2 linked regions of the Astyanax mexicanus genome follow. Each later gene encodes a partner of the first gene's protein in a complex. Links are inferred from orthologs where the notes say so. Each region holds a gene or a part of one and is shown on either strand. Other genes may lie near its edges.

Region 1 (7,685 bases):
AAGTAGGGATGTGCCATATCGTATCGTACGCAATAATATTTCCATCATTTTTGTATATTATGAACAATATTATACCCTGAAATATGGTGCCATATCACCCGCCCTTAATTATCACATCAGGGTGCTAGTTTTTTTTGTTTGTTTGTTTGTTTTAAGCAAAAGAAAAATTCATACTGTTCTCATTTCTTATTATATATCTACTAGAGACAGATTATATCTGTCCAGTATAATTTATTTTACTATAATCCTGGATAATGTAATGTATGTAATGTAATGTAATGTAATATATGGAGATATTTGGAGTGCATGATTAGTAGTACCATGACATTCTAGACCATTGACTTCTGTTACAAATTTCTTTTTTCAATTAATTAATGTGGCCAGTTTGTCCTTTTGCAGCATTTAATCCATATTGTTATAATTATGATATAATTGAGCATCTCTAGTTGTAACAGTGCCAAGATCTGCAATAAATGGCCACCATTACTTTAAATGATTTACCATGGACTTACCTTTCCAGGCTGATGAGGGGTTCAGGAGGCCGGGCATTCTCCACAGGGTAGCGTTCCCTCACTGCAATCTTCACGTCCTCTGCCTCATCAGTGCGAAAGCGCAACAGGTTCAGTATGGTGTACTCGTGGTCTGTTAGGATTATATTTCCCTGTAAATGCAAAACACACAAGTTAAAGTGGATCTTAGTATAAAATGAAAAAAGGCTTTATTTGTTGTAAATGTAAAAAGTAATGTAAAGTTTAGTTGTGAAAAAATTGTGTAAAATATTACACTTCTGAATTTCAAAAAGATAGAATATCATTGAAAAGTTGGTTTATTTCAGTAATTCAGTTCAAAATGTAAAATTCATATATTACATATCAAATATTATCTGCTGGTGTTGATCCACTGTGTTTTATTATCAAGTCTAAAGTCAGTGCAGTTTTGTTATCTCACAAAATCTTACAGCACTTCTTCATGCTTCCCTCTGCTACTGACAACTTTTATAGAGATGCAGATTTCATTTTCCAGCAGGATTTGGCACACTGCCCACACTACCAAAAGTACCAAAAGTACTCATATAATATTCTATTTTCTGAGATAGTGATTTTTGAGTTTTTATTGGCTGTAAGCCATAATCATCAACAATAAAATAAATAAACACTCAAAATAGATCACTCTGTGTGTAATACGTCTATATAATATATGAGTTTCACATTTTGAACTGAATTACTGAAATAAAGTAATTTTTCATTGATATTATAAAATTTATACAGCCAGTTATGATTTAAACACTTTCTAAAATGAAAGCATTTAGACTGCAACTATAAATAGTTTTTTTTTTTTTTTTGGAGATAATTGTTTGGAAAAAATCCCAAGTTTGCTTACCCTGTCATACAACTCAACTATGAGATGGTATGCAGCTTCGTCTGACCCAAATTGAATGTCCACGATTCTGTCCACACCAAGCTGCTTCACATGCGCCAGTCTTCTTGACTTCAGATGCTTTCGGCACTAAAAATGAATATAAATAATTGAAACAAATGCAATATATTTCATTTGTAGTACAAATAACTAATAGGTGATCCCTGTACTAAAATCCAACATGCTTACTTTCATGGCAAAACCGGAGGGCATGAGATTTTTGGGCCATTCAAACTCTGTGGAGTGAATTCGTATTCCAGACTCAATCAGTAATACTGCTTTACTGTCCGGCCTGAAAAAGAAAAGAATTTTGGAAATGATTATCTCATGGAATCAGATTTAAACATGCTCACTACCAACACTCAATAACAATACTGGCTGTACTGGATCACTTACTTCTGGAGTCGTATGAGATAGGTCTTGTTGTCAATGTCATAGACATTGTACACTCGCATCCCGACATAGCTGAGGAGAATAAAAATATATATTTTTTTAATGATTTTTAAACCCACTCATACCATTCAATGATTATGAGCACATTTATCTTGCTTATGCAGTCTAAATTCACTAGAGAAATAAATGAACAAGAGTGGATGAGAATGGGTTTAATGGCATTTGGCATTTAATGAAGATTTGTATGGAAACTGACTTTTACAATTATTGCACCTTCCTATTCCAGCTCATGAATTAAATGAAAATAAGATAAAATAGATAACAAATAAATATACATTTTAAGCTAGCATTTGTATTTAGTTTGTAACTTAATGTTATTGTAAATATATTATACACACAGCTCTGGGAAAAAATAGACCACCCAAAAATGATGAGTTTCTTTGATTTTACCAAATTAAAAATCTATGGAATATAATCAGGTTTTCCTTTAAGCCATTTTATTTATTTTATTAAATGAATCCTTTCATACGTTTTATTACTGTATTTACTTACTATTTTGGTGTTATTTTAGTCCTCTATTTGTGTTTATATTTTAGTATGCTAATTATTTATCTCTTTATTTTATTGCTTTACATCTTAGCCTGTCTGCATATCTTTTTGTTCTGAATTATTATATTTCTTCTTTATTTATAATTTTATTATTTGTTGCATTCAAAATGAGGGTTACCCTCAATGTATTACCGACAGGAAATAAAAGCTGACTGATATCATATTTGCACTTATTTATAGCTATGGTCATTGGTCACAATTTTGCACATCTAGTTAAATTCTTGTACTTAAGTGTACCTTCTTAATAGCAGTGACGTTTAATGAAATCTAATTAATGAAGCATAATTTCATTAAACAATACGACAGCAAAATTAATCATTGACAAATCAGTAAGTTACATTTACAGAGTAACTTTATAAAACTGGTTTTAATGTGCGAGACAAGGAAGAAAACAGCAGCCATAGACTGCTGACACACAGCTGTCAGGTTTCTCTGACCTAAACTTATATAAAAATAATGCAGAACATTTACAATCTTTTAAAGAGTGATGAAATGAAGCACATGAAGCAGCACAGGTTTAATGTCTGCCTACATTAATTAGCAATACCCAGCTCCCCACTCCCTCTCCCTGTGTGCAGAATTCAGAATACAGCAGCAGAATTCAGTCCTTACTTGGCGTTAATTTCAGAGATCACTGCTCTGATATCCACTGTGTTAAACCTGCTTTTCATCCTGTCAGAAAGAAAAAACACAGGTTACACTTCTTCTCATCTGCTCTTCTCCGGAGACTCAACACCACACACAGCACAAGACTGCCACTGCGCATGCGTGTCATACCCTACGGAAGCCTGTTTGTTTTTTGCTCCAACGCATGTGGTCAAAAAAAAGTCGAAGTAAGTTTCGGATTGTGTGTAGAAGTAGAACGGTAACAAGTGAATTTGGAGGACGAAAAATTACATACATAAATAAATAAAATTTGTCATGAAAAAGTACACATTTAAAAAGGTATCAAGAATCTATTTCCATGCATGAACGAGGCTGAAAACACTGGCTTTTTACGTTAAAAAGACACATAGCACAACGCTGTGCAAACGCTCTGATTAAAAAAACAAACAAACACAAAAAGACGCTCCAAGTTCAATTTATACTTGAATAGAGTAGATAAAATAAAACAATAACGAGAGCATACAATAAAAATTAATTATTTTATTATTAAATATAGACTTAAGAAACAATACATCAGGCTGTTAAAATCCTGAAAAAGAACAAAAACCTCTGTGACCGTGTGAACATAGCATGTAATATGTGTATACATAGACATTTGTTTATTTCTGCATTTATTTATTTAAACATTTCTACATTTATTTATTTTCATATGTCTTAATTTATTTATTTATGTATTTCTGCATTTGTATGTTAATTAAGTAGGCAGTCCTATTCTCGCTGGACTCTGGAAGAATAGCCATACATAAAGTAACATAGAAAATGAATGTGGGCCATGATATAACCCATGTTGTGCATTGGGGGGTATTGACACAAATAGAGTTTTTATTTAAAAAGTAAGAATGTAAAAACGAGGATGTATTATGAAAAAAAATATACATGTAATTTATTGCAAAGATATAGGAAAAATAAAAAAAATAAAACTCGTTTGACCAATGTTGTGCATTAAAATGTTAAGCCTTTAGAGGGCGCTCCCAAGTACGTTCAAAATGAATGGGTTCACATGGACCATATGAAATATTTGGTAATTTTGCCCTGGAAAATACACTAATTTCTCAGCACAGAACATTATTAAATGTTTTAGTACCACATTTAAATGCGTTTAAACTCCAGTTATGAGCTTTTTAAAAACGCTTTGTACTTTTACCTCCAGTACTTGAGTAGTACATTTAAGAATAAATCTACTTGTTTAAATACTTAGGTACAAAAATGTTAAATACTTTAGTACTTCCACGTACTTAAATGGTGGTGCTCAAGTCATTATTGAGTATTATAGTACTTTTACTCATGTCTGGTTCTCTAGTGCTTTATACATCTCTGCCAACCAGTCAGCACACAGTAGTAGCAGTAACGCTAGCGTGTTTGCCTCTGCCTAAAACAGTTTGCTGTTGATTTTTTTTTTAATATATAGCTATGTTTTCTTTACTTTTTAGCGGAATACTTTATTCGAATTTCTAAAATTAAATGAGTATTTCGAATAAGTAGTAAATTACTATTTTTAATTAGAGTTTTTATCCGTTTAGCTCCATTCACCCCATTTATTAAGGACTCACTCGCGGGCTCCCCCTATCGGTTTGCTGTCAAAGTGGGCATGCTCTGCATAAACCGGCTCTGGTAGCTATGGACTTTTCATGATGCTGTGCAGCATGTTAACAACGGCGGAATTTATACAGGTCGTATTTTTTTTTCTTTTATGAGATATGAATTGGTTTTGATATTTGAGAAAGATTTGCCATCTGCCATGTTGGTTATTAGAAGCTAGATAAATAATTACAAATAGCCAGCTCAAACCACCAGTAAATGAGCTAGGTTTACTAACCCTATAGGGAAGAAACGTGCATTGTTCGCTTACAAGGTTAAATCACTATTACAATAACTTATATCAGATCGTGCTAATAATAAAATGCAGTTTATTCAATTGTGGTGATGGAGAGCTGAAAGAGAAAAGTTGAGATTTCTCTCATTAAACGGAATTTAACGGAAGGAGTAGTATTTTTCTTACAGTATTACAGCACAGACATGCAGCTAGAGGTCGAAAAAAAGAATTTGCCCGTGTATTTGGTCTATTGATCATCTCGATTGTGCTGGATCTGATGGAGGTGGTGGAGAAGAAGAAGCAGTGGGAGTCGGATCAGGCGCTCAGCAGCTCCCTCGCTCTGAGAGGTGAGTCGCTCACTAACCCTAATATCACCCGCTGCCCTTTAACAGCAGCGGGCGTGTTGTTCTCAGAAAACGAACCACGGCCTGCTGTAGCGTCCTTCGAGCGGCCTACGCGAGCTGTTTTCTATTAATCCTTGTTAAAAAATAAAGATAAAACCCCCTGTTTGTGTCTGTGAGAGGTGTGTGTGTATAAGTCTCACTGAGTCACTCGGCTCCTTTGACTCGGCTCACCTCAGGTCAGAGTGGAGGCCGGGCGCGTGCCCCGTTACCAGGGCGACAGTAGCGACCTAGCTAAGCGAATGCTAAGCTAAGCTAACAAGCTAACATGGCGGTGGCGGGGAGTCAGCGCGAACCCAGCGCAAAGAAGTTGTTTTAATAGTCGAAAAGAGAACGCTATTATGATTATTTACTGAGGTTAAATATCCTGAAGAATGTAAGCGTCGTTAACTATGTGTGCGCTAAGAAACCGTCCTTTTTTGCGGCTGCTTCTCCGACCCGTGTCAGCGCTAAAGAATGGATAGTAAGTTAGTTAAGTTATTTAACTAAGTTATATAGTTACTAAAAGTGTTCACTAACTGTTGAAAAAATAAGCAAATATGTTGAGTATTATCGTATATATTTTTGTGAGCACCCTGCTAGCTTTTTCTAACTAACCTAAAGTTACCTGAACGGGTAAATAAGTATTCGCTCATGAATGCTAGCTATAGCATACTATAGGGCATCACCTAGCTAACTAACGTTAATTACCTAGCGTTAGGTTAGCTATATTGCCAAAAGTATTCAATCATAAAAGTCCAAATCCCAAAAAAAAAAAAAAATATTTAGGTGTTCCTACGGAGCCCGGGAGGGGCCGTGGATAAAAAAAATAATAAAATCGAGTGAACGATGTAGCAGTTCGTGCTCACGTTTTCTTTAATTCGAGTGAACGATTTGCAATTCGTGCTCACGATTTCTTTAATTCGTGCTCACGATTTCTGTAATTCGTGCGCACGATTTCTGTAATTCGAGTGAACGATTTCTGTAATTCGTGCTCACGTTTTTATGCGCAATAAGACAAGAAGCTCGGAGGGAAAGGAGCATTTTCTCTCTTGATCTGTTACAGGGGTGCAGTAATGATAATCAGTTATCTACCTTTATAACCTGCTGTTATTAATGCACTAGTGTTACAGTTAGATGTACAGTACAGTGAGCAGATTTTGCCTGGTGGTGGAATCTCTACAGCGCGTGGGGGAGAGCCGTCCGCGGCATCGGTTCCCCCGCCCCCAGACACCTGCCGCGCGCGCAGGTCTTCACGGAGCTTATTTACCAACAATGTAGACAAATACAGTCAATTCCAGTCATGAATAAAGGAAACAAACATTTTACTGATGCAGGACAACTGTGTGTTATTAAAACCAGATCAAAACAAAGTTATAATGCAATGTGCAAATGTGTTTATTAATTTCTAAATAACATTCAGCCAGCCTCCAAGGAAATGCACACCTTCTTAAATCTGGTTACATCATTATTACTTTTATGATAGATTTAATCTATATTTTAATAATTTGTATAATAAATAAACACATAATTCAGAAAATATACATTTAAGAAGTTTATAATTATTATATTTTTTTTATTTGAAGCTTGTGGCATGTTTCTGGGCAGGACACTGTGATTTGAGAATAAGCAGATATTCAGGACATTTCATCAGATATAGAAACTTAATTATTTTAGGAAACATATTGGAATAAATTATCAAATTGATCCAAATTATTATATGAAATGCCTATTTACTAAATATCTTAATACATTGTATTAATAGTATTTTAGACCAGCTATTTTGATTTTATATAGTGTTACATATTTAAAGCAGCTCTTATATGAGCCATTCATAGACAACTGTCACACCTTGCATTAATTTTGTATTATCTTTATTAACTTTTACAGTGTACATTTGGACCTAAGTCTTATAGCTGTATATTTATATAATTATACTTCTTTACGTTATACTATTGTTGAAAATAAGAAATTATAAACAGTTCCACATTGCATTATAACTTTGTTTTGATCTGGTTTTAATAACACACAGTTATCCTGCATTAGTAATGTTTGTTTCCTTTAATCATGACTGGAATTGACTGTATTTGTCTACATTGTTGGTAAATAAGCTCCGTGAAGACCTGCGCGCGCGGCAGGTGTCTGGCGGCGGGGGAACCGATGCCGCGGACGGCTCTCCCCCACGCGCTGTAGAGATTCCACCACCAGGCAAAATCTGCTCACTGTACTGTACATCTAACTGTAACACTAGTGCATTAATAACAGCAGGTTATAAAGGTAGATAACTGATTATCATTACTGCACCCCTGTAACAGATCAAGAGAGAAAATGCTCCTTTCCCTCCGAGCTTCTTGTCTTATTGCGCATAAAAACGTGAGCACGAATTACAGAAATCGTTCACTCGAATT
Region 2 (7,474 bases), on another chromosome or scaffold:
TAGCAAACACTAGGTTATATCAGACACAGGCATACCTTGAGTGTACTGATGAGGGCTAGGTTGTTGGAAGTGATATCATTGTAATAGGTCTTAATGTCACTGAAAGCTTTCTCATGGTTTTGTATCAGTGTGTTAATGTGGCAGTTCTTCCTTTCTTCTATTTCCTCGATTTCAGTCTTGCGTCTGAGATCCTGCTCCTGGCGCAGAGCCAGCATTTTCTTTTCATATTTAGCCTCTATTTCTGCAAGAGAAAACAAAATAGCATAATTTACACTACTGGTCAAAAGTATGAGAACAGTTAGACCCTAAATGTTTTCAGTAGTCCAAGTGATCAAACCTCTAAAACTTAAGTGTCTTTTTTTAGTCATAATGAGTAATGAGCGATCTGAATGTAGAGTGTTGTGTAAATACTGTGGTAGTGAAACACTGTTGTTTGTTCCAACACTGTTTTTATACAGAGAAAGGGACTGTAAATAGTAAATTGTTTGCATTAAATTTGCATCAGGGTTAATTTACTTCCAATGCAACAGATCTGCTCTAAGTTGTTGACAGGTTTATTCACTTGATTAAAAAATCCTTTAATTAGTAAATGATTTGACCAGTAGTACATTATGTAAAAGAGAGATATAGCCTGTAACATTACAATATTTACTCTAATATAAAAGCAAATAAAAAAGGGTGAGATACATCACCTCGTACTTGTCGTTCAAAATCATTCCTGATCTTGGTAATTTCCTCATCATGTTTCTGGGAAAAGAAGGTATGATTAGTAACTGCATAGCATTAACTAAAAAAGAGTCCACATCTTATCAGCCTAAAGTCTATCAACACTGACTGTCATGTTAGCTGTAAGCTGAGCATTCACACACCAGTTTAAGACTCTTGATCAGATTTTCACTGGAAAGCTCCTGTTCCTTGATATCCACTTTTAGATTCCGAATGCCCTTCCGCAGATCATTCTCCAGGTCTGCATGTTCCTTCTGCAGCAGTTTGGTGGTGACCACTCCCTCTGTCTTGAGCTCTGCGATGCTGTTCTGCTGTTCATACAGCAAGTGTTTCACCTTCTGTTTGTACACCTGAATAACAGAACGAACACCGTTAGATCATTCATGATAGATCTAAACTTTTTCAGTGTTTCATGTGCCAGAGCTTCTCATTATCATTCTTGATACCTTGATCTCAACTTGATGGCGTTCCTCAGCCTCTTCCATTTCCCGATCCCTGTTCCTGAGATCTGCTTTCTTTTCCTCCAGCTGTCTTTTGGTGATCTCCCAGAAGGTGTGGATCTTATCTCGTTCCAGTTGGAAGTAGTTGCGCTCTTCCCTCTCCCTGTCCAGCTCTTCACGCAAGCGGACAATGTGGTCCTCCAACTAATGAAGAATGAAGATAATGACGTAGTTTTAGTTTTAATACTTGGCATCAGTGTGCTTCCTGCAAAGCCACATATATTCATTCTAAAAACAGGGTGTCTGGTAGGTCATAGAACATGAACAACCATAGTGCTAATAATGATGTTGATACAAAAAACTATTGTGAATGTAACGATATCAGAACAGCAAACACAGTCTTTATCAGCTCATTCAGATCTCACTAAACCAAAGAAACACAGAAATAGACCAGGAGAGAACTGGTGAATTAAGGAGAGTGCAAACAGTCACCAGTTTCGCTAACTCTGGTAAAAAGACTTTGCCTAAAATGCACATTTTAAAAGTACTTTTAGCATGCTCAGTGCAAATTCACATCCTCACCAGAACCTATGGACTGTCACTTTAAAGTCAATATACAATATATGGACAACTGCTTATTTTATTATTATAAATAGAGTTCATAGAGCTTTTGTTGGAGTAAATGTCTCGACTGTCCAGGGAAGGCTTTATTATAGATTTTGGATCATTGCTGTTGGGATTTTATTGCATTTAGCCACAATCGTGTTAGTGAGAACAGGATATTGGATGATCACCACCCAGAAGTGTCATATTACACAGTATACATGATTTGTTACCTTACTTGAGTAGAAATGTTGGTTATCTATACTTTACTGGAGTAATTATTTTAAGATGACTTGTAACTTCTACTCCTTCATTTTCACATAATTATCTGTACTTTCTACTCATCACAATTTCACACATTTATCTGTTTTTCTACTCCTCACATTTTCACACTACTATCTGTACTTTCTACTCCTCACATTTTCACACTACTATCTGTACTTTCTACTCCTCACATTTTCACACTACTATCTGTACTTTCTACTCCTTTCATTTAAAAAAATGTGCATTTAAATGCATTTTCCCCTAACATTACTCTTACTTAGATACTTTAAGCAGTTTTGAAACAAGTATTTTTACACTTTTACTTGATTAAAAATAAGTATTTTTAAACAGAAGTATTTTTAAACCCTTGTATCTATACTTATACTTGAATATTAAATGTGAATACTTTTCACACCTTTGTACAGTAACCCACCTCACCCCCATCTCAACAACTCACCACCCTAGAAGTGCTAAATGGAGAACCATCATTCCTAAAAACTCAGTTCCATTGCTCCACAGGGGGGGCAACATGCGTTTAGAATTTCTGTCTCATTGTTGTTGGAACCTTAAAAACAAACTATAAAGCTTTAGTAGCCTTTGAATCTGCTGGAAACCTGTTAGATAATTATCACTGAAGACACAAACAGTAATAATGACATTATAACTGGCTAAAATATTAGTTTACCTGCTCCTTCGACATTTCCTCTGTGGAAAGTCCATCCACCACTGTAGGGCTCTTCTTGCCCTTCGCAGTCTTCCCTCCTTTCTTTTTTGGAGGCTGAAATATGAACATTTGGAGAGGATAATGTTACAAATACCCATTCTCACTGCATTACCGCACATTAATGATGTACTGTTAGTCTATACAGCTTTAACTAACTCTCTGGTTAGATAGCTCCTCCACTAGCTATACCGATATATAACCTATATAACGTTAGCTAACTAACAAATTAACGCTGTTAAATCACACTTACCATGCTGTATGTGTGTAAAGTAGCTAGTACTGGTCAGTCAGATGAGGGCAGTGTGTATTCGGGTGTTTCTGCAGAGAAACTGTACAGATATTCTCGTGATTTAGCTTTAGATAGTTTAGCTACAGCTCTCCTGTGCTGATGGTCTGCAAACAACAAACCAGATCCATGGAAACCAGTTCAGATCTCGCGAGAATAGAAATGAGTCGCTGCAGCGTGGAGCTGCCCTGCAGACTCTCCACACTCACTCAGTAAATATTCCCAAGCAGAAAGTGTTTGTTGTTTTTTTAAGCAATGCGAGGAATCTTTAATCATTTATTCTTATTTATACTACGAAAAAAGGACGATATATATTATGAACATGTAATTATTATGTTTATTCTTTTTGCTTTAATAATAATAATTTAATATTTTTCTTCTGTAATAATTTTACCCCTATCCTTCTTCACTGTTATGTTAGTGTTATTTTTACTTACTCAGATTTTACATTTGGGGTTATGTTCTTTTTTTTGTTGTTCTAATTAATGATCTCTTACTTTGACTGCTTTTATTTAGTGAATTGTTTTATTTTAGCTTGTCCAACTTTTAAATAATTTTAATTCTTTAAAAATGAAATCTAATTAAATATTAATTAGGTTAGTTGATTTTTTAATGCTTTTACATTTTTATATATATATATATATATAAAATATAAATAAAATCAAGTTTTAATTAGGTTAAACTAACATAATAAAATACAAAACAAAACAATACAAAATATACATATATATTCAACAAAACAAAAGTTATAAAGATTCTTTAAAGCTCTCTTCTACTAAATGCAATTATTTTTTCTTAATGAATATAATTATAGTGATTTGACTTTATATTTACTTTGTAATAGATACCATTATTCCGAACTTTTATTTATTCAGACCTAAATAATTATTATTACTTACTGGAAATTTTTGGACAAATTAAAAATAGAAAAAAACATAAATCCTTCGATATTTTAAATTAATTTGAATCCCACTTTTTTCTGTTTATTTTGTTTGTCTATTTATGTTTTTGTTTTGATGTGCTTGAGATGTTGGTTGTAAAAATACTTAAAAAAAAGTTTTCTGGTTGTATTAACATGTGGGACTTTTATTTGTTTTCCGGTAGTGACAGTGACAGCGTTTCCGTACTGCTGTCCAATCAGGAGGCGTGTTGTTGGGTCGCTGGTGGTGCTGGTTATGGTGGGGTCTCAGTTGGGCGCAGCTGCTGCAGATCCGCTGGTTTTAGGGAGTTTGTGAAGATGTCGAGCCGCGCGCTGCGCAGACTGAAGGGGAAGCAGCGCGGCCAGGAGGACCTGGACCTCGCGGAGCTGCGGGTGGAGGAGGAGGAGGAGGCGGCGCGGGAGGGAGAGGAGTTAGAGGAGCAGGAGGAGGTTCTGCAGCCGGTCAGAGGAGCAGGCAGGAAAACCAAGAGGAGCAAATCTCAGAAGAACATTAGCAACATTTATGAACTGGTCAGAACTTTAATAACACTGAACAGCTAAAGACTGATACAGACTGACTGCTGATAACCAGAGTTCTTACTAATACAATAAAACTCAAATTCAGGATCTCTGTAATGCTAAACCTTCTTATTCCAGATATAAACAAACTTATGAAACTCCACACTGACCAGCCATACTCCCAGAATCTCCTATTATCATCATCAATATAACCAGTAATACTGTTACTGTTATTATTAGTACTATTTGTTTACTTTAATCACTTCCTGGCATCTACAATTACATAACATGTACTTTTTAAGTCCAATTAAAGATATAGCTATAGAATTATAAACATTACTATACACAAATAAGAGACACGGTTGGTCCAGAAGATGAATATGATTGTATAGTAAATTCTTTCTTTTTTTAAACTCAGATGTCTGAGACAATCAAAAATACACCATTATGTCAAAATACACCATCAGTATTCTATTCTATTAAAAAATCCAGGTACACATATTAATTAATTAAAATATATTAGAACTCTGGATTTTATGGACATATTGTACAAGTCCTACTGGAAAATAAAATTCACACCTCCATAAAAGTTGTCAGCAGAGGGAAGCATGAAGTGCTGTAAGATTTTGTGGAAAAACAAAACTGCACTGACTTTAGACTTGATATAACACACAGTGGATCAACACCAGCAGATGACATGTCTCTCCAAACCATCACTGATTGTGGAAATGTCACACTAGACCTCAAGCAGTTTGGACTGTGTGTGTCTCCACTCTTCCAGCAGACTCTGATCCCTTGATTTCCAAATGAAATGTACAATTTACTGATGATCAGTGATGGTTTGAAAAGACATGTCATCTGCTGGTGTTGGTCAACTGTGTTATATCAAGTTTAAAGTCAGGGCAGTGTTTTCCCAGAAAATCTTACAGCACTTCATGCTTCCCTCTGCTGACAACTTTAATGGAGATGAGGATTTCATTTTCCAGTAGGACTTGGCACACTGTCCACACTTCCAAAAGTACCAATTGGTCTTATATAATATTCTGATTTTGACACTGATTTTTGGGTTTTCATTGGCTGTAAGCCATAATCATCAACAAAAAGAAATAAACACTTAATAGATCACCCTGTGTGTAATACATCTATATGATATATCAGTTTCACATTTTGAATTGAATTACTGAAATAAAGTAACTTTTCACTGATATTCTAATTTTTTGAGATGCACTAGTATTTTTGTAACTGAAGCTGTAAAAGGTAATTGTATATATGAGCAAATGAGAATCAATGGCATGATATGATTCAGATTGTATAAGGCATATGCTATCCTGGCAGTATATATTTATAGATCATTAGATCAGATATTTTTGATAGTAAATATTTCATAATTGATTTTCAAAGTTAGCACCTCTATTAGGATAACTGCATTACAGATATCTTGATTTTCTATCTTTGCTAATAAACATTGAGTGACTGCCTCTATCAGTTTATATAATTTTCTTAGCAGGGTGGATGTTTATTTGTTTCTGTGCTGTTACAGATTGGTGACCCTGACAATGATACAGACAAAAGTCCCACTGATGAGGAGAACGTGTTGACAGGGAGAAGCCATGGAGTACAAAAGCAAGAGTGCCAACCTGATATGGAGACCACAAAGGTTTAAAACTACATTACCATTAATTAAAAACGGACAAATAACTGTTAAATTCTTCTCTAAAGAGACTCAAGTCAACCCTTTAACATGCGTGGCAAAGTTAAGGCTTGTGTTAATTGCATTTTTTTGTTCTGACCTGAGATGCTGGTGCTCTGTATGACATCTAGTGGCAAATTTGATCACAAACAGAACCATTTAAACATAGCATTCCTATTCTTATCTTTTCTTTTTATTTTGTAGTCTGACTCTAACGAGAAAGTAAAAAAGAAAAAGAAGAAGAAGAAAAAAAAGACTGCTCCTGGGGATGTGCAGGTATGACATGCACTGTATATATTACATATCATATAAACTTGTGTAAAACAGAACATTTTAACACTGGAGGTTTTGCTTGTGTTTCTGTTCTTCCTCTTCTCTTACTATCTTCTAAATCTTCATAGGAGGAGTCCACTGCAGGGGATGACATTGACGCTCTGCTGGAGACCATAGAAAAGACCAATGGCCTTTCACACCAGAGTGAGGACAGTGGAGTCTCAGGCCATAGGCCTGTACTTTATGTGGAGCACAGGTGAAGGCTGTTTGTAGTTCTGAATGTTTGAAGGATGGCATACGTTTTGTTTTACAGTTTCAGAAATTGCTGCTGTTAACTTTTAACTTTTAACTTAACTTTTGTCTATTAGGAACCTGAATCCTGAGAATGAACTAAAGCGATATTTTGGAGCTCGGGCTGTTTTGGGAGACCAAAGGTTGGTTTGGTTTCTATTTTTCGATGTTTTTTAAGCATGCACATACATGTACTGTAAGACCGTCACTTTTTATTGTGGCTTGTTTTTTGGTTAATTTGTATGTGTGTTTTTTCCTTTCAGGCCCAGGCAACGACAGAGGCAGTTTCACAGAAGTACATGGATGACCGCACCTAAAGACACTTGGCCTCGCTTTAGTAAACCAGGTATGCCTGATATGCTTCCTGACAATGGCCTTCAGATTTTTTGGATTTGACCAGCAGGTGCAGTTCATGTTGAGCTGTACAGTATGACACTATTTCATAGTATCAACATTTGCTATTGTGATCTCCATAAAATCTGTCAGCAGAGGAAAACATAAATTGCTGTAAGATTTTCTGGGAAAACACTGCACTGACTTTGAGCTTGATAAAACACAGTGGATCAACACCAGCAGATGACATGTCTCTCCAAACCATCACTGATTGGTGGAAACTTCACTCTAGACCTCAAGCAGCTTGAACTGTGTGTCTCTCCACTCTTCCTCCAGACTCTGCTCCCTTCATTTACAAATGAAATGTGAAATTTACTGATGATCAGTGATGGTTTGGAGAGACATA

The links.
Region 2: ribosome quality control complex subunit NEMF (region 1) and tcf25 share a complex: the UniProt entries of both Homo sapiens proteins name them as parts of the ribosome quality control complex. The link is inferred for Astyanax mexicanus from reciprocal best matches to the Homo sapiens genes NEMF and TCF25.

The regions. Positions count from the first base shown.
Region 1 is NC_064421.1:45,012,439-45,020,123, reverse strand, and holds the start of ribosome quality control complex subunit NEMF, read right to left. Parts: upstream 3,197-7,685; 5' UTR 3,090-3,196; coding exon 3,031-3,089; intron 1,882-3,030; coding exon 1,813-1,881; intron 1,709-1,812; coding exon 1,606-1,708; intron 1,507-1,605; coding exon 1,381-1,506; intron 662-1,380; coding exon 513-661; intron 1-512. Other genes in the region: MAPK/MAK/MRK overlapping kinase, read left to right, coding at 5,175-5,244. UniProt on the Homo sapiens protein: Key component of the ribosome quality control complex (RQC), a ribosome-associated complex that mediates the extraction of incompletely synthesized nascent chains from stalled ribosomes as well as their ubiquitin-mediated proteasomal degradation.
Region 2 is NC_064416.1:13,274,549-13,282,022, reverse strand, and holds the start of tcf25 (transcription factor 25), read left to right. Parts: upstream 1-4,186; 5' UTR 4,187-4,280; coding exon 4,281-4,493; intron 4,494-6,021; coding exon 6,022-6,138; intron 6,139-6,375; coding exon 6,376-6,447; intron 6,448-6,572; coding exon 6,573-6,700; intron 6,701-6,812; coding exon 6,813-6,878; intron 6,879-6,998; coding exon 6,999-7,081; intron 7,082-7,474. Other genes in the region: gas8 (dynein regulatory complex subunit 4), read right to left, coding at 36-241, 693-747, 870-1,076, 1,173-1,370, 2,719-2,811, 3,008-3,010. UniProt on the Homo sapiens protein: Component of the ribosome quality control complex (RQC), a ribosome-associated complex that mediates ubiquitination and extraction of incompletely synthesized nascent chains for proteasomal degradation.